2 linked regions of the Pelodiscus sinensis genome follow. The main gene of each other region encodes a partner of the protein of the gene in region 2 in a complex. Links are inferred from orthologs where the notes say so. Each region holds a gene or a part of one and is shown on either strand. Other genes may lie near its edges.

Region 1 (11,144 bases), on a different chromosome or scaffold from region 2:
GCAGCGAGTCTCAGGCATGGCTTAACTGACTGAGGCAATGGGCTAAAAATAGACAGGTAGAGGGTTAGGCTCCAGCTGCTCCAAGACCCTCCCCAGCCCAGGCTCCAGTTCAAACATCTACATGGCTATTTTTAGCCCTGCAAGCCTGTGTCAGTAAAATGGGGCTGAGACTTGCTTCTGCAAGGCTGGGGGGGAAAGGGAATGTTCCTAGCTGTGTAGAGATACCTTAAGATAGCAGTGGGCAACTCAGGCTAGTGAATGGGCCACGTGAGTGGCCCTCCAACTCAGTGGGCTGCAAGGTTGTTGTAACCAAGACAGTCCCCTGGGATAAGGCAGTTTTGCTAATTGCACTTGCATACCAATAGGAAAAAAACTACATGGACTGAAACCAGTGGTATCGTGGGCCACACTTATGACCTCACTGGGCTGCAGGGTTGCCCACAACTGCCCCAAGACATCTCCCAGCTTCTGAGCCTCTAAGCAAGCATCATTTGGGATGAAACTGCTTGATAACGAGGGTCAGTAGTGGAGACAGACACAGCTTATGTGCTGATCCCAACCACAACCAACTACCCATGGAAAGGTACCAGTCAAAACCTTCAGAATGATGGGCGGGCATAGTTCTCAACTCTTAGTCCTGAGTGGGAACAAGGATGGCACCAATGGATGGAGGCTCAACAGGGCCAAAGCAGTCTGTCATCTGTGCTGGGTTCGAAACAGCTCACTTGATGAAGCTTCTGCCACCTATGAGGTTCCCATGCTATTGCTCCCAGTTCCAAAACAGATTTACAAGGGAGTCCTTTGTGCCAATCCTTAAATCAGCAGAATAATTGCCACTGTGTGTTGCTGACACGCCTGTAGGTACGTTTGCTTTGCCTCTTTAGAGTGTTCTCTTCCTGGTGGAGATTCCAGCACTAAGACTAGACATCCTGTATTTTGGGGAGTTCAATGCCTCTCAGGACCATTTCTGACAGTCTGAACATTCCATTATTCATGGAACAAATAGGAGGCACTTCTATTCCTTCTCTGAAGAAGGAGCAATCAGGATCTCTCGAGCTAGGCAGCCAAAACACACTAGTCACTTCTGGAAACATGGGCCATGGCTTTTAATAGTAGGTGCAAAATGCCACTATTAAACAGCCCTTCTAATGAACTTAGAGCACAACTCCAGCTCTACCAGTCCTTGACCACCTCCTCCTCCTCCCAGTGTCAAATAAAATAGCTCTATTGGAAAGGAAGGCAGAGGGGGGAGGAGGCTCTGTCCCTCTCTTGACAGACGCAGGAAAGGGTCTCTTCATTAAGGACATTTTCAAAAGAGAGAAAAGAGAGTGCACTAGTCTCTACGAAAAAGCAACATTGACACAATTAGGAAAACAGTCATTTCCTATGAGACAGACCAGGGTGGATGTGAACAGGCAGGTTTGCTCTGCAACTGCATGTTGTTCATATAGTTGCTGTACATCCTTCCTGCTGGAGCTTAGCGTCGCCACAAAGAACAACTTCCCCCCCAGTCAAAAAAAAACCAACACACAAAAAAACCCACAACTAAGCCAGGAAACTAGGACAAAGAAAAGAAAAAGCTCCTTGATGAACTAGGTAACTGGGAAGGAACAAAGAAGGAAAGAGCAGTGACTCCAAAATATGGTGCTTAGATGAAGATGCTAATTTTCTACAATCTTGTTATAATGAGACTGTTGGAAATATTGCATGAGGCTCATTTTTAAACATGAATGTACACCAGAGATGAAGTGTCTACGTTCTGGTTATGATTTCATAGGGAGCTATTACATTGGAGAACATGCAGTGCAACAAGGGTGGGTTGCAGTTGAACTTACTTTAAAGGGGAATTAAGGAGATGCCAGTGTGTCCAGACAGTAGTACTGAATACATGGGAAAGGATAACAGAGGGCAGACATGTGGTCCAGCAGTTGGAACAGCAAAAAGTCTGAAGTTCCACTCCCAGATTGAAAACTTGCTCTCTGGATGCCCTTGGGTGTCACTTTACCTATCTGTAAAATGGAACTGATGCTTTCATGGCCAGAGCCATGTTGATTAAGCCATCCATGCTTGTAAATATTCAAGATCTTCTGAGGAAAGGTGCCAGAGAAGTTCACAGCACTGCAAAATGAGATCACATCTACACTACAGACTTCTGCTGGCATTAGTCATCAATCAGTGGCATGGTCCCAGACAGACACAGCTATGCCAGCCCCTATTACAGATGTCATTATACTAACAAAATTGTGCTTTGACTGGTACAATAAGTAGTCCTATGGCACCTTAGAGACTAACAAAAACATATAGGATTATGAGCTCAGCTCATCAGATGAGTTGGAGTGGAAATAACAGAATCCAAGGTGTATATATAAATGCAAAAGAAGTACCGGACAATTATCAGACTATTATGAAGACATCATCAGACATTATTGGACAATTATGAAGCTAATTAAAAGGGCTGGACGTGGGAATTTTTTTTAAATTACAGACTAACACAGCTACCCCTTAGACTTTTTTTTATTTTTTACTGGTACTGTGTGTGTGTTGGGGGGGGGATGGGACTGTAGGTGTGTGGAATACATTATACTGCTATAAGTACAGCTTTGCCAGTATAGCTACTTGCAGATTAGGCATGCTTGGCAGTATGGCCCAAGTTAAAAGTGCTGCCAACTTACTGAGGAGAGGAGAGCTGGAGCCCAGGGAAGCAAATAAATAGGAAATCCCCAGAAAACACAATCAGTTATCGGTTAAAGCAGTGTTTCCTGTGTCTATGACCAGCAAACCAGAAAAGAAGACATTTGTAGATAATCATCTTTCACTAGCTGGGGTGGGATGGGGATGGAATCATATAAACAGATTATCTTGAACAAGTGCTGTCAGTTCACACAACCAAGAAGAAATGGGTGTTTCAAAATAATATTTTTTAAAAACTTCAGACTTCACCCTCAGTGAACGCTTCATTTCACAGTTCCAGGCACTGCATTTTCTAGCTGTCAGCGGAGCCAGGGATTCCCAGGGAACCAGAATTTCATGGGAATGAAAAGGAGTTCCCAGCAGTGTCTCCCTCTAGTCTAAACTGCCTCTCTGAGATGGTGCTGCTCAGTGGTGGGGTCCGATCAATGGAAATATATGCGGTCAACTCAGTTTAAAAGTAGGGTGAAAACGGATGTATCCTTTCCTGCCAGCAAAAGCAGGGCAGGGAGGTGGTGTTCCACTACTGCACAGGCTGTAAAAAAGCTGCAAGAACCACCAATCATCTGAGACAGCCCTGGTCATCCTAGCACCAAAGCATCACTGACTGACCCTAACATGTCCAGCAATAACTGGACACATCAGCTCCAACTCAGGAAGGAAAAGGCATGAGAAATAAATAGCCAAACAGAACAAAGAACACAGCCCTTCACCCACAAAAAAACCCTGGGGGGGGGGGGCTCATAACTGGGACAAACATGTTGACCTTATTACACAGACAGGCCTATGCAACCTATTGTTCAATTAACACAGTGGTGTAGAGCTGATTAACTATTCATTGCAGGCAACTACTAGAAAACCCCTCTTGCTATGTACAGGGTAAGATTTACTTCTCAAATAACATGAAAAACAACAGGGCTCAAGTTCTTCAGACCGTTACTTAAAAACAACCAAAACCGGATCTCTTCTAAAATCTAGAGCCGTGGAAACTCAGGCAAAGATTTTCCCGAGATTCGGGGTGTGGTCCCTGCAAAATTCTCCAAGCAGGGAGAGAGTGCGAGACGATGGGAGGGGTGTAGATCGCCCTTCTATGTAGCTCGTCCTAATTTGTCTAGCTTATAAACAACTAACTGGCTTTTAACTCTCTCCTTCCTACCCGTAGCAGCCCTTTCCCAAGCAACCAACCCTAACTCTCAGTCTTAATCTCACAGCAACAGTTTCCCATTCATATCTCAAGGCTGGGAAACATCCTCCCCCACTCTGTCCGGATTCCCTGTTCGCAATACCAGAAGAGGAGGAGCACTAGATAGATTTTTTTAAAATCAGGTTTACGTGTCTCCTCATTTTGAGCTAATTTGTTTTTTAGAGCCAACTTCACTCTACATATTAGAACATTTGGCATCAAAACTAATTACACAGATAAAAAATCTTTATAGAAGAGGTTCCCCCCCTTTAAAAAAAAGGAAAGGAAAGGAAAGGGGGGGGGGAGAAACAGGTCTGACTCCAGTTTCCAGCCTCTAATCACGGGTTTGCACGCTTTAGTGATTATTTAGTGCCCATCTACTAGAACGCCAGAAGACAAATCGGTCTGCAGATGTAGTTATAACTCATTCCCACGAGCGAAACACCCTCAGATGTTATGTAACTACGCACCAGACTTAGTACCCACACCTTCTCCACTCAGCAGAGATAAACAGAGCTCCTCCATGCCTCCCAAGCGTCTACCAATTCAGTTTACAGGTGGTTTACTAACTCTGGAGGGCGTCGGTGCATTTTAACCCTGGATCAATCAACGAAAGCCTTCCGAATGTAACAGCCCGTTAAAACCCACCTCTAGATTTACGGGGATATTTTTTTTTTTAAAAAAAAACCCAATTCTGAACGGTTCCTTAGCAGGATAGGAAGAGCTCACGGCTCAGGCCCTTGTGTGTTTCCAATGCAACAACCATTTTTCCTGGGCTAAGCCTCCTCCATCTTCCAAGCCCTCTGCAGCTCCCTCATCGCTCGTAGCGGTTCGGGGCAGGAGGTTTTGCGCCTCCAGCTCACACCAAGCAAAGCCAAGTCGCCGCTCCATGCTGAGCCCGCTGCATTGTTTGGGGGAGGGAATCTTCCCCCCCCCCCCCCCAGCCAGGAGGAGAAAACACAACACAGCCCCCCACGCATCGCAGGAGACACCACGCCGCCCCCTGCAGCGCCGCGAGACCAGGGGGGAAGAAGCGCACTCACCCAAAAGACAAAATTGAAGACGAAGAGCAGGTATTTGATGCACTTGGTGCAGCCTTCCACTCCCATGGCGGCAGAGGTCGGTGGGCAGAGCTGCCTGCCAGACGGGGCCTGTTAAATCAGAGCGAGCAAAAGCGCCGCAGCTCTTGTAGAGGGTGGTCCTCTCTGTTTTCCTTTGGGACTTCCGCTGACTGGCGAGGTGCTAGGCTGTTTCTCCGCTTTATCTCCTCCCTCCTTCCACTACAGACACCCCCCGACTCTGTTGCTAAGCCAGGATCCTCCCACTCAGACGTAGGTCGTTTTTCCAGAAGAGGCTACCGCCTCCTGGGGGCAGCCAGCCCAAAGTCCCCCCGCCGACTTTCAACCCACGTCTGAAATGCCACAGAGATGATAATAAATAATAATAATAATAATAAATAATAATACTTGGCCGTTCTCAAGCAACTCTGAGAGGAGACTGATGGATAAGTAGCTCTGGGTCCCGGTTTACAAATCAAAGTGACTACTGAAAAATATATTGCTAAAGGATCATTGAATTCAGCAGTGGAGCCGCTCTGTGCCTGGGAATTTTTCCAGATGCCTGCTGGAAATTTGGGGTAGTTCAGGTTAAATCTGGCCGTTTTAAATTTGGGAAAGCTTTTGCGCATTGATTTCCCCCCCCGGCCCCATCCCCATCTAATATGTATAATTTGTATTAGACCTGATGCCACAAAACACCCTCGCATCCCCAGCTCCCTGCCATAACACCCCTGCACCCCCCCAAGCCCCAACCCTGTTCCCTTAGCCCATCATACACCTCAACCCCCTGTCCTCAGCCCCTTATACATCCCAACCTGGACTCCTGCACCCCCCACAACCCCAGCCCCTGCCATAACATCCCTGCACCCCCACACTCCAACTCTGTGCCCATTATACACACCAGCTAAGACTCCTGCACCCCCACATCCCAGTCTCATGCTTACTCATGCTTAACTATACTGTGGGGACTACTCCCATTGAAATCAATGTGACTACTTAGGGAAGTAAACTTAAGCACTCCATCTGAGGCCTAATCAGTGTAGAGTAGAGTGGAAATCTTGCTGCTTGTGTCTTGTTTATATCAGTGTTTCTCAACCAGTGGTACGAGTACCCTTAGGGGTACTCAAGAGAAGTGTGGGGGATATGTCAACACAATTGAAATTTGGAGAAAACTGAATTTTTGTTTTAAGTTTTATTGCGTTTTATTATTTTTGTACTTTTTAGACCCACAAATTTCAGCGCCCACCCTGCTACGATGAAGTTGTTTAAACAAAGGTGTTGCAATGGTAGAAAAAAATTGTGTGTCTGAAAACTGTAGGTACTGGGGGTACTTATATATATATATTTTTTGTGAAGGGGTACTTTATAAAAAAGGATGAGAAACACTGGCTTATATCACTTCTGTTTTTACATACTGGAATGAGGTTTGCTTTTTTTGCAGCAGTGTCAAACTGTTCACTTGTAGTTAGTTTGCGGTCCACTATGACTTCTAGATCCCTTTCTGCAATACCGTATATTCCGGCGTACAAGACGACCTCTGATGTTAAAAAACATCCCCCCAAAATCGGGGGTCGTCTTGTACGCCGGATGCACCGCCGCCGGAGCCCCTCCGCGGCTTTGAAAGCCTCGGGGGAAGCCGGCGGGGGGGCATCCCAGGCGCGCATGGGCTGCCCCCCCCCCCCCGGAGCCCCTCCGCGGCTTTGAAAGCCTCGGGGGAAGCCGGCGGCGGGGCATCCCAGGCGCGCATGGGCTGCCCCCCCGCCGGAGCCCCTCCGCGGCTTTGAAAGCCTCGGGGGAAGCCGGCGGCGGGGCATCCCAGGCGCGCATGGGCTGCCCCCCCGTCGGAGCCCCTCCGCGGCTTTGAAAGCCTCGGGGGAAGCCGGCGGCGGGGCATCCCAGGCGCGCATGGGCTGCCCCCCCGTCGGAGCCCCTCCGCGGCTTTGAAAGCCTCGGGGGAAGCCGGCGGCGGGGCATCCCAGGCGCGCATGGGCTGCCCCCCCGTCGGAGCCCCTCCGCGGCTTTGAAAGCCTCGGGGGAAGCCGGCGGCGGGGCATCCCAGGCGCGCATGGGCTGCCCCCCCCCCCCCGGAGCCCCTCCGCGGCTTTGAAAGCCTCGGGGGAAGCCGGCGGCGGGGCATCCCAGGCGCGCATGGGCTGCCCCCCCGCCGGAGCCCCTCCGCGGCTTTGAAAGCCTCGGGGGAAGCCGGCGGCGGGGCATCCCAGGCGCGCATGGGCTGCCCCCCCGTCGGAGCCCCTCCGCGGCTTTGAAAGCCTCGGGGGAAGCCGGCGGCGGGGCATCCCAGGCGCGCATGGGCTGCCCCCCCGCCGGAGCCCCTCCGCGGCTTTGAAAGCCTCGGGGGAAGCCGGCGGCGGGGCATCCCAGGCGCGCATGGGCTGCCCCCCCGACGGAGCCCCTCCGCGGCTTTGAAAGCCTCGGGGGAAGCCGGCGGCGGGGCATCCCAGGCGCGCATGGGCTGCCCCCCCGTCGGAGCCCCTCCGCGGCTTTGAAAGCCTCGGGGGAAGCCGGCGGCGGGGCATCCCAGGCGCGCATGGGCTGCCCCCCTGCCGGAGCCCCTCCGCGGTGGCGCGGAGGGGCTCCGGCGGGGGGGCAGCCCATGCGCGCCTGGGATGCCCCGCCGCCGGCTTCCCCCGAGGCTTTCAAAGCCGCGGAGGGGCTCCGGCGGGGGGGCAGCCCATGCGCGCCTGGGATGCCCCGCCGCCGGCTTCCCCCGAGGCTTTCAAAGCCGCGGAGGGGCTCCGGCGGGGGGGCAGCCCATGCGCGCCTGGGATGCCCCCCCGCCGGCTTCCCCCGAGGCTTTCAAAGCCTCGGAGGGGCTCCGGCGGGGGGGGGGGGGGGCAGCCCAGGCGCTCCTGGCGGCTTTGCTCCCGGTGCCTCTGGTCTGCTGGGGACCATCTCCAGCAGACCAGGGACACCGGGAGCAAAGGAGGCGGAGGGGCGCTGGGGTATAAGATGAAACCCTATCTTTTAATTAAAAAGATAGGGGGTCGTCTTATACACCCAGTCGCCCTATACGCCGGAAAATACGGTACTCCTTCCTAGGCAGTCATTAGGGTTGCCAAATGGTTTCAGCAAAAATACTGGACACACTTGACATTACATCACAATCTACATTACATCTTATTTAGAAAATACCGGCCATTTATATTTTCTCAATTTGTTTCCCGAACAGAACGCTCAAATACTGAACTGTCTGGTTCAAAACCGGACACCTGGCAACCCTAGTCATTTCCCATTTTGCATGTGTGCAGTTGATTTTTCCTTCCCAAGTGGAGTACTTTGCATTTGTCCTTATGGAATTTCATCCTATTTACCTGAGACCATTTGTCCAGTTTGTCAAGATCATTTTGAATTATAATCCTATCCTCCAAAGCACTTGCAACCCCTCCCAGCTTGGGATCTTCCACAAAATTTATACGAATATTCTATATGTAATTATATAAATCGTTGATGATGATAGTGAACAGAACCAGACCCATTACCAAGCTCTGTGGGACCCCACTCATTATGTCCTTCCATAATGACTGTGAACTATTGATAATTATTAGGGCTCGACAAACCTTTTTATCTACTCGCCTGTGGCGAGTAGATTTTAGCCGGTCGCCCTGTTCACTGGCGGTGCACACATGCGCAGTGCGGGTCTGGCGCATGCATGGTGTGGGGCTGGCAAGTGGATTTCGCCGCGGTTTGTCGAGCCATGATAATTACTCTCTGGGAATAATCAACCAGTTATGCACCCACTATATAGTAGTCCACTCTACGTTGTATTTCACTAGTTTATTAATGAGAAAGACATTTGAGATTGAATCCAAAGCTTTTCTAATGTCTAGGTAGACCACTTCTACTACTTCCTCTTATCAACAAGGTTTGCTATGCCATCAAAGAAATCTATCAGGTTAGTTTGACATGATTTGTTCTTTAAAAATCCATGTTGACTGTTTCTTCTCTCATTATCTTCTAGATGTTTGCAAGTGGATTCCTTAATTATTTGTGCCATGATCTTTCCTGTTACAAAAGTGAAAATGACTGGCCTGTATTTCCTGGGTTGTCCTTATTTCCCTTTTTATAGGTGGGCTTTTTCCAGGCTTCTGGAATCTTTCCTGTCTTGTATTATCTTTGAAAAGTCATGGCTAATGGCTCAGATATCTCCTCAATCAGCTCCTTTGAGTATTCTAGGATGCATTTCATCAGGCCTTGGGAACTTGAAGACATCTAGCTTGTACAAGTAATTGTTAATTTATTCTTTTTCTAATTTTTTTTAACTCCGGAACCTACCTTATTTTCACCAGCAATCACAATGCTAGGTGTACAATCACCACCAGCCATCTTAGCGACAACCAAAATGAAGCCATTAAGTACCTCTGCCATTTCCACATTTTTGTTATTGTTTTCCCCTCTTTACTGAGTAGTGGTTCCAACCTGTCCTTCCCCTTCTAAAACATTTGTAGAATATTTTCTTGTTACCCTTTATGTCACTAGCTAGTTTGAGTTCATTTTGAGCCTATGCCTTTCTAATTTTGCCCCATACATAGTTTTGTTGTCTGTATTCATCCTTTATAACTTGATCTAGTTTCTTCTTCTTGTGGGACTCCTTTTTGATTTTCATATCACTCATGATCTCCTGGTTAAACCAGCGTGGTCTCTTCCGTACTTCTTATCTTTCCTGTGTTGTAGGAAAGTTTGCTTTTGCACCCTTAATAATGTCCCTTTGAAAAACTGCCAACTCTCCAATTTTTTTTTCCTCTTAAGGTGTGTCAATACTGCACTCATAGCTCGAAATAATCTATGCAATTTGAGCTATGCAAATTGCATAGCTTATTTTGAGTCAACTTTGAAATAGCTTATTTCAAAATGTAGTGCTGTCTACTCAGCAGTTATTTCAAAATAAATCGCTATTCCGAAACGTCCCTTACTCCTTGTGGAATGAGGTTTAGAGGGATGCCATAATAGTAAGCCTGTTATATTTTGAAATAACAGGTATGCTCAAAAGACGCAGAATAGCTATTTTGGGATACCTCTGGTATCCTGAAATAGCACTGCAGTGTAGACGTAGCCCAAGAGACTTGCTTCCCATGGGACCTTCCCTAACAATTCCCTGAGTTTATTAAAGTCTGCCTTCTTGAAATTCATTGATTTATTTTGCTTTTTTCCCTCCTACCATTCCTTAGGATCATTAACTCTATCATTGCATGATCACTTTCATCCAAGTTGCCTTCCACTTTCAAATTCTCAATCAATTCCTTCCTACTTGTTAAAATCAAATCTAGAACTGCTTCCCTCCAATAGCTTTCTCACCTTCTGAAATTAAAAAAAAATGTCTCCAGTACATTCCAAGAACTTGCTGGAGATAATGTCTGAACTACATAGGGAGAATAATATCAAAATGAAGATGGCAAAACTATTATTTATGAATGTAGCACCTACAGGTGCCAACGAAGATCCAGATCCCATTGTTCTGAGTATTTTATATACACATAGTAAGAGAGATCCAGATCCTCAAAGGTATTTGGACACCTACCTCCCACTGATTCTTAGGCCAGCGAGTCCTTGCTGCAAAGAGCTTACAATTTTATTAAACAAGATGAAAAAAGGGAATATCCCTATTTTACAGATGCGGAACTGAGGCACAGAGCTATTGAGTGATTATCCTCTTTTCACACACACAGTCTGTAGTAAAGCCAAGAACTGAACCCATACATTCCTGATCCTTAGTCAGTGCTTTAATTATAACAGCATTTTTTGTTTGGTCTTCTGTTATAATCTGTATTGGAATTAAATATCCCCCCGGGAACATTTCAAATACAGTATTCCAGAACTGCAATGCTGAGCCTTCCATCAGTTTAGCCTGAGATCAGTTTGATTCAATGTGAAATTATCCAGAGTGTCCACACTTCAACACTGGAATTATATCCACTTGTTGGCAACACATGCATATTTTATTTCCTTATACTAGAGATGGGTCAGTTTGCTACCAAATTACAACCAGATGAAATCTGTTCACCCTGAAGGGAATCATATTTTCTGGGTTAAATCAGCTGGTGGTGCAATACATCCAGGTTTCCTGTAAACTTACACTGGTATCAGAGAAACACATTCCGTGACAAGCACTCCAGCTTCTAGGAATGTACCAGAAAGGAACAAGAGGGGGGCCCAGCAGCACAGTGTTTATTATAGCTTTTGAATCACTGGTGTCCATT
Region 2 (10,135 bases):
GGGTTTGGAACGGGTCTCATATGACGAGCGATTTAAAAGACTTGGACTTTTCAGTTTAGAAAAGAGGAGATTAAGGGGGGTTATGACAGAGGTCTATAAAATCATGACTGATGTGGAAAAAAATGAATGAGGAAAAGTTATTAACATGTTCCCATAATATAAGAACTAGGAGTCACCAAATGAAATTAATAGGCAGCAGGATTAAAAACAAACAACAAGTTTTTCTTCATGCAGCGTACAGTCAATCTGTGGAACTCCTTGCCAGAGGATGTTGTGAAGACCAGGACTATAACATGGTTCAAAAAGGAGCTAGATAAACTCATGGAGGTTAGGTCCATCAATGGCTATTAGCCAGGATGGGTAGGAATGGTGATCCTAGCCTCTGTTTTTCTGGAAATGGGTGACAGGGGAGGGATCACGTGAGGATTACCTGTTGTGTTCCCTCCCTCTGGGGCATCTGGCATTGGCCACTGTCAGAAGACAGGACACTGGGCTAGATGGATCTTTGGTCTGACCCGGTGTGGCCCTTCTTATGTTCTCACAAATGTCAGTCACTGACAGTTATAACAGCTGTGGCAAGACAGTCACTTACAGGTGCCAGCGAACATGCAGGAGAGAGGTAAAACTACAGAAGTGGCTAATGCTGGGAGTCCAGAGCTGTGGGATCTGTTCCCACCTCTGGCGCTGACTTCTCGAACAGCTGTTTTGCCGCACACCATACATCTCGCTGTGCCTTATCTTTTCTTTGCAATTGTAAGTTTAAAGCGCTGTTGCAGCAACACCTTGACACATGAGTGTGGTCACGGCACCGGCGCTGGGAGCGCGTTAGTTAAACCACCTAAAACACGATGGGAGTAGCTAACAGCTACTGTAACTTGCTGCACTCGGGGGAAGGGAGGGGAGGTGTTTTTCACACCCCTGAGTGAGAAAGTTACGGCGCAGTGAAGTAGCAGTGTAGACAAGCCCTTAAGATGTATAATTCAGGGATAACAAAGGGCTTTGAGACAGGCTGAGTCTCTCAGCCTTCAGCCCACGCTGCAGAGAATCCGCCTGAAGGTGCCTAGACAGGTTAATTCGGAAATTGTGAAACTGGTGACAGTGCAAGTCCTACTCTCCTCTCTGCCACGGCTGGGCCTCTCTCCCCACCGTCCCTCCTGCGAGGTGTAAGCGCACCCTGGTCTGACACACCTCTTCGAGGAGCCTTCAACCACGGAAAATGCCAGGCAGTCAGCGGCCCACAGAAAAGAGAAAACCAGGGTACAGGGATTCAAATCAGACCCACAGACTGGCAGCATTGTGTGCAGACAGCCCTTTGACCCGTCAGCCTCAATGTGCTTTTATAGACTCCTTTGTAGTCTGATCACGACTTGCCGAATGTTTACGGCTCTTCAATGAATGCAGAATTCCTCGGGAATGGCAGAAACTCATGTGACACCCAAGGGCAAGCGGGCCACCTGCCAAGTGCCAGGGAGCGGAGCGGGGAGTGAGTCACACAACCTGGGGCCATGCATCCGCCCGCACAAGAGCCTTTGTGCTCTGCCCTGGAAAGGGGGGAGGCAGGGCTTGGCAAACCTTCTTGGGAGCTTGGAGGCGCGAGGGGGATGGGTCACAGGGCGTCTGCCACAGCCGTGGCTTCGGTGACCAAACCTAGGCCACGCAGGGACTGTTGCTATAGCGGTGGGCCCCGATCCTCAGACCTAGTGGGCCAGCAGTGTCTAGAGCAGGGACGGGCAATAATTTTTTGCCAGGGGCCACTTCGAAAAGTTTGGAAGTGGCTCCGGGCATTGAGCGGAAGGGGCAGGGCAAGATATTTCTGGGTTCCCACCCTCAGACAATGACAGGTCTGGGGGTGAGGGAGTGCCTTTGCCCCACCCCAAGTTCCCCCAAGATGCCCATGCCCCTGGTGTGGGAGGAGACTTCCCTCGCTCCCCTGCTGGAAGGTTATTTAAATCCCGGAAGTAGCCCCAAATCCCAAGGCCCAGCAGTGTCTTAAAGCCGGCTTCCTCCCTGAGCTCCATGGGGCTTGCCCTTCTGCACCCGCCATCTCACCCTCGGTGCACAGTGGGATGGGGGTGGAGGCAAAGATGGCTTTGAGAGGGCCCCGATCCTCAGCTGTTCAGTCCCCAGCACGAATCAGAGCCAGCGGTCCCCTCGTTGGGGTCTCCAATGGCCTATTATGGCAGCTGGAGACAGGCAGCGTAGGGAAGTTAACTGAATAGTCGATTAACCTCGTGAGTTTTTATCAGTTACTCGACTCTTCTATAGTCCCTGGGGGCGGGGCCAGCAGCCAGCGCACACTGGCCACACCCCCAAGGAGCCCCATCACCCCACACTGCTGCTCTGAATCAGAGGCAGCAGCGTGGTGTACCCTGTGGGTGCTGGTCCATTAGAGGAGCCTGTTTAAAAACCAGCTCCTCACGAGGACCGGGTGCCTGCCACCCCGCGCTGCTGTCCAGGGTGGGTGCTGAGCTCCCGGATCCTGCACGAGCCAGAACTGAGCCAGGCTGCCTGGCTCCTGATACACTTTAAATGCAGAGCCACAGCGTGGGTAGGTCTCAGACCGGGCACTGAGCCAGCTAAACAATTTGTGGGGGGGGGGGGGGGGAAATGCATTAACCTATAAAGCTTTTGCTTATCAGTTAATCAGCTACAGCATTCCGCCCCCAAGGCAGACGTCTGCCAACCTCTGCCAACCGTCAGGAGCGGGGGGGGCAGAGGAGTTGCTCTCCCCTCTCTATGGGGCTCCCCCTCTAACAGGTGGGCTTCCTCTGGCCGGCTTCTCAGCTGCCTCGGGCCGTGAGGGCTTTGCCACCCTCCTGCTTCACGAGCCGCCTCCGCGAATGTCTCACACTCTGGCTCACCACGTGTCCAGAGCAGGACGTGGGGGTGGGGTGGGGTGGGGGGCAGGGGGAATGGCCATGACTTATCAGTTAATGGTTCGTAAAGAGCCATCAGCCTGTCTAAAAGAAAGGGCTTGGAGTTGGCTTTCGCCACCATTTCCCATGACACACCACTTAGCGTTCATTCCAGCTCTGTGTGTCACCACTTTCCCTCCTCGTTACGCCTCGTGCACGCTTTCCCTCCGTAGCTAGAATCCCCGCTTCTAGCCCAGCCCAGGGTGGGAGCGAGCAAGACGTTAGCCCCGGGTAGCAGCTGCTTCGGAGCTGCTGGGAAACGTGTTGGTGGGTCCCCGCGTGGCTACGTGGGAGCAGGTGTCAAAACCACCACCTACAGCGGCACCAATTAGGTCCCGAGATGGTCTCAACAGAGCAGCTAAAAACTCAATGGTCGGACTCAGCAGTCCAGTGGCAGCCCCACTCCCCTCCCCCCGCCCTGCTGTTTCATTGTGAGGGATGGCTGCTAAAGAAAACCATCTCCATCAAACCCAACAGAGCATAGCAAGCTCTGGGAACAGCTCCCAGCCTTCCACCAGCCCAGCTTTAAAGCGCCACGAGCTCTCCTTTCCCACCATGCCTGCTGTTGTTTACAAACCTGCCGCCCTCTGATCTTCTCCCTCCCCCACTCCCATCTCTCCAGTCGCTGGATTAAGATTTGGACGGCAGTCAAATATGTAACATTTATCGTCACGGCCTGAGCTGCGCGAACCCTGCAGGTCACAGCCGTGCAGACAGCGCCAGGCAGAAAGCGCCAGGGCAAAATTCCCACCCGGCCTGGGGCAGCAAGTTGTCTAAATCAGCCATGTCAGCCTTCCAGCACCTCTCTCAGCACGTTCTCCCTCCTCCCTGAGCTGTGGGACCGCAGGCGGCTCTCTTCGCCAGGTCTCGCCCACTACCCAAAGTTGGTCCGATAAAAGCTATGACCTCACCACCCCCTTGTCCCTCTAATATCCCAGGACCAACCTGGTTACAACAGTGCAAACTCCAGCTATGTCCAGTAAGGGCACAAACGTGGAGCAGACACTTATGCCTAATGGTCGTTGCAGGAACCTCTGTTCGAATCCATAACATGCATAAACCTGTCAGGGGACATTTTAATCTTCCTGGTCACTCAATCATGGATTTAAAAGTAGCCATTCTTCTACAAAGGAATTTCACTAACCAATTACAGAGAGCGTCTGCAGAACTGGAATTCATCTTCAAATTTGACACTGTTACCGTAGGCTTGAACAAACACCTTAACTGGTTGGCACAAAGAAAAGCCAATTTCTCCTGCCTCTATCATGCACATTTTCACAACAAATGCTGTGAACGGGACACATCCAGACCACTTAATTCGCCTCATTAACACAGGCCCTACAATTGACAGGTACTTGTTCTGCTGTTAAATATATACATCTGGTTTTCTGTTATTTCCACTCCAATTTCGTGGGCAAAGCCCACGAAAGCTCATGATTCCATTTTTTTTGTTAGTCCCTAAGATACCGCAAGACTACTCGTGGTTTTTCAAGTTACAGACTAACCCAGCTATCCCTCTGAGCCTTTTCATTAAGGATGCTTAAGGACAGTCAATACAGAAAGGCCCTCAGAAGGAGCTACCCCAGCCATGGCTCTGCTATTTAAAATGTAGTAAAAGGCAGCCGCTTCTGTCCACCATGGTCCTGACTCTTACTAGATTTAAACTGCAGAACCACAGCTGGGGTAGCACCTTCCCTTACCGACTAATCCCGTAGTTGATACAAACGGTATCGACTACACAATTACTTCATTGCCTGCCTCTTAACATCCTTAGTCCACAAATAGAAAGAGGTGGGGCAACATTGCAGGAGGCTCGCCAGACCTGAAGGGCGGGATCCATCCACCAAGAAGACTGCTCACACCCGGCTGGAATAAAACTCTCCTCCCTCCTCCACCACTCCAGTTTCTCCTTACCTGCCTGACTCTGTGGTCAGATCCCTGCTGCTCCCCAGCAGGTGTTGGCACAGCTGAGTCCTGGGCTGCTGCAGTGGGACATTTCTCCAAGAGCCTGTGGTCAGCTGTGCCGGGCAGCTGGTGGGGTGGGGGAGTGTTAACTGTTTAATGGCAATGACTCCCCGCTGCCTAGGACGGGCCAGACCCATCCAGCTGGAAAACACACCCCAGGGTGGGCAAATATCGGAATTCAGGCCCCAAGGAAGTCACCCTCCCCCCCCACACACACACCCCAGCTTGACCCCATCGCTCTGTCTCCTGCTGGCCAAGCAGGGCACCCAGGCTGCTCTAGCTCCGGCTAGAGAAAGTTGGGCTCCCTCAGGAATCCCGGAGGGGGGAGGCGAGCTGGAAGGAGCGCAGGAGCCCGCCTGGGCCCGCCCCTCCCCCGGGCAGCGCGGAGACGCCGCGGAGGGAAGGCTGCTTTGTGATCGCCAGAGCTGCTCGCCCTATAGGAGACCGTGGGGGGGCGGGGGGGGGCGCAGCCTGCCCCAGGGCCACGGAAACATTTCGGACCCAGCCCCGGCTGCAAATCCCCGCGCAGCTACAGCGCCAGGTGCGCCCTGAAACGCCCCCGCCCTGCGGAGCGAGCAAAGCCGCACCTGGCCCCAGCCGGGCTGCTCCAGGAGCCCCGGCGGGGCGGGCAGGGCCGGGCTGGGCGCTCGCTGGCTCCGGGCCCCCCGCACGGGAGCCCCCTTCGCCCCGGTCCCGGGAGAGCCCTCCCGGCGCCTGCAGCCTCCTTGGGCGGGAGCGCGGGGGAGGCGACGGCCCGGCCCGGGGCCCGATCCCTGCCCCACGGGCCCGGGCTCTGCCCACCAGCGGCGGGGGAGGCGCCGCCGAGCCGGTACCTTGGTGCTGCTGCAGGGCGAGCCGCGTCCGGCGGGAGCGCTCCGAGGCGAGACCCGGCCGGGGCCAGGCGGGCTGGGCTGCAGCGGCGCCCGCGAGCGACCTCCAGGGGGGCGGGGGCGGCTTCACCTGCAGCGTCCTGCGGAGCCGCCCTGAGTCTGCGAGTTACCCCGCCCCCTCCGGCCGGCTGTGCGCGGAGAGACAGCCACACCCCCCACACAGCCAGTGCCACACCCCCCCACACACACACAGACACAGCCACACCCCCCCCCACACACAGACACAGCCACACACCCCCACACACAGCCAGTGCCACACCCCCCCACACACAGACACAGCCACACCCCCCCACACACAGCCAGTGCCACACCCCCCCACACACAGACACAGCCACACCCCCCCCCACACACAGACACAGCCACACACCCCCACACACAGCCAGTGCCACACCCCCCCACACACAGACACAGCCACACACCCCCACACACAGACACAGCCACACCCCCCCACACACAGCCAGTGCCACACCCCCCCACACACAGACACAGCCACACCCCCCCACACAGCCAGTGCCACACACCCCCCCCACACACAGACACAGCCACACCCCCCCCCACACACAGACACAGCCACACCCCCCCACACACAGCCAGTGCCACACCCCCCCACACAGCCAGTGCCACACCCCCCCCCACACACAGACACAGCCACACACCCCCACACACAGACACAGCCACACCCCCCACACACAGACACAGCCACACCCCCCACCCACACACAGACACAGCCCCCCCCCCCACACAGACACAGCCACACCCCCCACACAGCCAGTGCCACACACCCCCCCCACAGCCAGTGCCACACCCCCCCACACACACAGCCAGTGCCACCCCCCCCCACACACAGCTAGTGTCACACCCCTACACACACACAGCCAGTGCCACACCCCCCCCCACACACAGCCAGTGCCACACCCCCCCACACACAGACACAGCCACACCCCCCACACAGCCAGTGCCACACCCCCCCACACACACAGCCAGTGCCACCCCCCCCCACACACAGCCAGTGCCACACCCCCCCACACACACAGCCAGTGCCACACCCCCCCCCACACACACACAGCCACTGTCACACCCCTCCACACACAGAGCCACTGTCACACCCCTACACACAGCCAGCGTCAACACCTATACAGTGTCACACCCCTACACCTCCCTAGTGTCACACCGCTACACCCACACAGCCAGTGTCACACCCCTGTACAGTATCATACCTCTACACACACACACACACACACACACAGTGTCACACCGCTTCACACACAGCCACCCATACACTCCTATGCAGTGTCAGACCCCTACACACACAGCACCAGTGTCACACCCATATACACATAGCCAGTGTCACATCCTTACACACACACAGCCACCATCACACCCCTATAAGACAACACCCAAAATATCAGGACTGTCCCTATAACATGTGGACATCTGGTCGCCCTCACGGGGTCCCTGGCCTGAGTGAGGTATTCAGGCTCCCTCTGCCCCACTTTTGTCTAAGATCCTGGCTGGGCTGCGACACCACATCAGACAGGTGTGACTCTCAGGAGTGGTGGGAAGAGACTTCGCTTCATTCCCGGGCCAGTCAGGGTTACAAAGCGTCAGCGCCGCTGTGTCAGGGGCAGAGGGTGGCTGCTGTTGCCGCCGCTATCGGCTACGCTCCATCTGCCTGCTCCGGGAAAGAGAGAGAAGCCAGACGTGTGGGTAGACAAGGTGACGGAGGTCATCTCCTTTACGGGGCCAACCTCTGCTGGTGAGAGCGCCACGCTTTGGAGCCACACAGCGATGTGCGGGTCTGGGGACAGACCCAGCCACTGTCCTACCAGGCTCCTGTAGCGTGGGGCTGAGCTCTGTCTACACTCCTCCATCAGCTGGGGGGTGGGGCAGAGAGAGGTCTGATCATGAGCTATTGAGCTGAGTTGCCCGTGGGCCCCAGACAACCCTTATCTAAGGTACCGGTTTTACTGTAATAGCTGACGAGGGTTGATGGCTGAACAGCTGTTTTCTTCCTCAAGTGCTTCTGCAGGGATTCAATCCGTTGTGGGGGTGTGCACACCCTGGGCACCTGGCCAGAGGCTGTTATCCGGCAGAGATGGCTGGCTGGCGCATGCATCCTGCGTGTCCTTGTGCCGCCAAGCGGGGGCATAAAAGGAGAGGCTGCTTCGACCCACCCCCTCCCTCAGAGCCCAGCAGTGAAGTCTCTTCCTTCTTGCTTATCAGAAGTTTCTCCTTGTGCAAACAGTCTGCAACTAGGAGAGTCGTTAGCGCCTGTATTATAATGTTTCCTTTGTTCTCCCGGATAGGAAATCCTTGTGGGTAGTCTGGTACAAGCTTAGTCATGCACAAGTCCCCAGGTTTTAATGCCTGCTCCTCCTGCCAGGCATTCAGGTCTGTTAATGAGGGACATACCAGACGCCTCCTTCCTCAGGCTGAGTGCCCAGTGGTTCATTTGAATACAGACCACGCCCCTTCGAGTGGCCATGCCTCTCCCTCCAAGCATTGTCACCTGGCCCGCATGGTTGCTGCACCCTTCGGGCCTTGTGCGTCCGCCTTGGTACAGATGGCAAGATGGACGTGCCAGACCTGAATTGCGTTGCACCCCCGTGTGCTAGGGTCAATGTTCAGCGAGCCGGGCCCTTCACCCTCGTCTCCATCTGCGCAGGGGTGGATGTGACAAGGCAGAGTGGCACTGCGACCCCGGAGGTCAGGTTACAAGACCTGGAGTGGGGGCCTGGGTTTGGGAGCTCAGAGCGATCATGGCAGATAGACTTGGGGTCTATGGTCTACCTGAAAATCACCTTGTAGCTGAGGGGCACTCTTTATGTCTGTGGGGTTTTCCTACCATCTATCAAAAAACCTCCCCTTCCTTCCTTCCTCTCTCTCTTTCTCTCTTCCCCCTCTCTTTCCTCCTCTCCTCCCCCGGAATAAATTGCCTAGGGAGGTTGTAGAATCTCCATCGCTGGAGTTATTTAAGAGCAGGTTAAACAGACACCTGTCAGGGATGGCCTAGATCAGAGGTCACCAACCAGTCAATCGGGATCGACTGGTAGATCTTCGTAGATCACCTCTGACAGGGGATCCTGACTGGTTTGGCCAAGAGGCTGTCAAGTGCTGGCACTTCAGCTGTCCCTCCCCCCACTGCTGTGCATCGCCTGCCCTTTGCCTTAGAGCTGCCTCCTCCCATCCCTGGGAGCCTCCTGCTTGCTGGGCAGGGCAGGGGAGGGAAAAGAGGACGCTGATGTCAGGGTGCCCCCTCTCCCACTCTGTATCCTATCTCCATAGAGCAGAGTGAGGAGCACAACAGGACTTGGGAGGGAGTTTGCTGGCTGCCTTTGGGAGTGGGGCAGGGCCCGGGCAGGGATGAGTCTGCCTTAGCCCCACTGCATCACTACCCAAGAGCCACCTGAGGTGAGCAGTGCCCAGCTGGAGCCCACATCCTGAACGCCTCCTTAGCCAGGAACCCCCTCCTGTACCTCAAACCCCGCCCCGAGCCCCCCTGCATCCAAACACCCTCTCAGAGCCTGCACCTAGAACCCCCTCCGGCACCCCAACTGCCTGCCCCAAGCTCAGCTCAGAGCCCCTCTCACTTCAAATCCCTTAATCCAAGACCAGAGCCTGCACCCCAACCCTCTGCCCCTGCCTGGTGAAAGTGAGGGAGGATGGGGGAGGGAGGATGGAGAGAGCAGGGGGCGGGGCCTCAGAGAAGGGGCGGGAAGGAGGCAGGGCCAGGGTGTTTGGGTGCGGGGTAGATCTTACATTGCACGTCAATTCAGAAAGTGATCTTGTGCTAAAAAAGGTAGGAGACCACTGGTCGAGATGGTACTGGGTTCTGCCGTGGGGCAGGGGACTGAACTCCGTGACCTCTCGAGGTCCCTTCCAGTCCCAGTGTTCTGTGAGTCCCAGCCCAGTAATGACACACCATGCAATTGCCATGTTGTATCTCAGCAAACCATGGAGGGTGAGTTCCAGCCCCTGTTTTCTGGATCTGCATCCGGAACGGCCTCGCTCTCAGGGCATCTGCTCTTCCCAGTGGCTACAATGCTCTAGCTCAGGGCTACTCAGCTTTGGAACCCAGGGCCCACAGTGATACTCACAGCACATGCCGAGAGCCGCAACTTCAGTGTGGGTGCATAGACATGCAAATATCTATGCAAAGATATGCAAACAGCTTCTTTCACACAATGCCCCGGTGCTCCCGGCACCTCCTCCCTGGGGGCTAGAAACACCGACACTCTGTCCCTGTCGGTTCCAGCCAGCCCGTCGGCTTGCCTTCTTCAGTGCTCACCCCGCCGGGGAGACGCCTCGCCACTGTGGAGCTTGTTCCCAGTGTCGGCCATGTTCAAAGGATCCCACCTGCTGAGC

What was found.
Region 1: ADGRG1 (region 2) and CD81 share a complex: the UniProt entries of both Homo sapiens proteins name them as parts of the GPCR-tetraspanin complex. The link is inferred for Pelodiscus sinensis from reciprocal best matches to the Homo sapiens genes ADGRG1 and CD81.

Annotation. Positions count from the first base shown.
Region 1 is NC_134714.1:115,678,422-115,689,565, forward strand, and holds the start of CD81 (CD81 antigen), read right to left. Parts: upstream 5,185-11,144; 5' UTR 4,981-5,184; coding exon 4,915-4,980; intron 1-4,914. UniProt on the Homo sapiens protein: Structural component of specialized membrane microdomains known as tetraspanin-enriched microdomains (TERMs), which act as platforms for receptor clustering and signaling.
Region 2 is NC_134722.1:45,565,728-45,575,862, reverse strand, and holds the start of ADGRG1 (adhesion G-protein coupled receptor G1), read right to left. Parts: upstream 5,093-10,135; 5' UTR 5,018-5,092; coding exon 4,830-5,017; intron 1-4,829. UniProt on the Homo sapiens protein: Adhesion G-protein coupled receptor (aGPCR) for steroid hormone 17alpha-hydroxypregnenolone (17-OH), which is involved in cell adhesion and cell-cell interactions.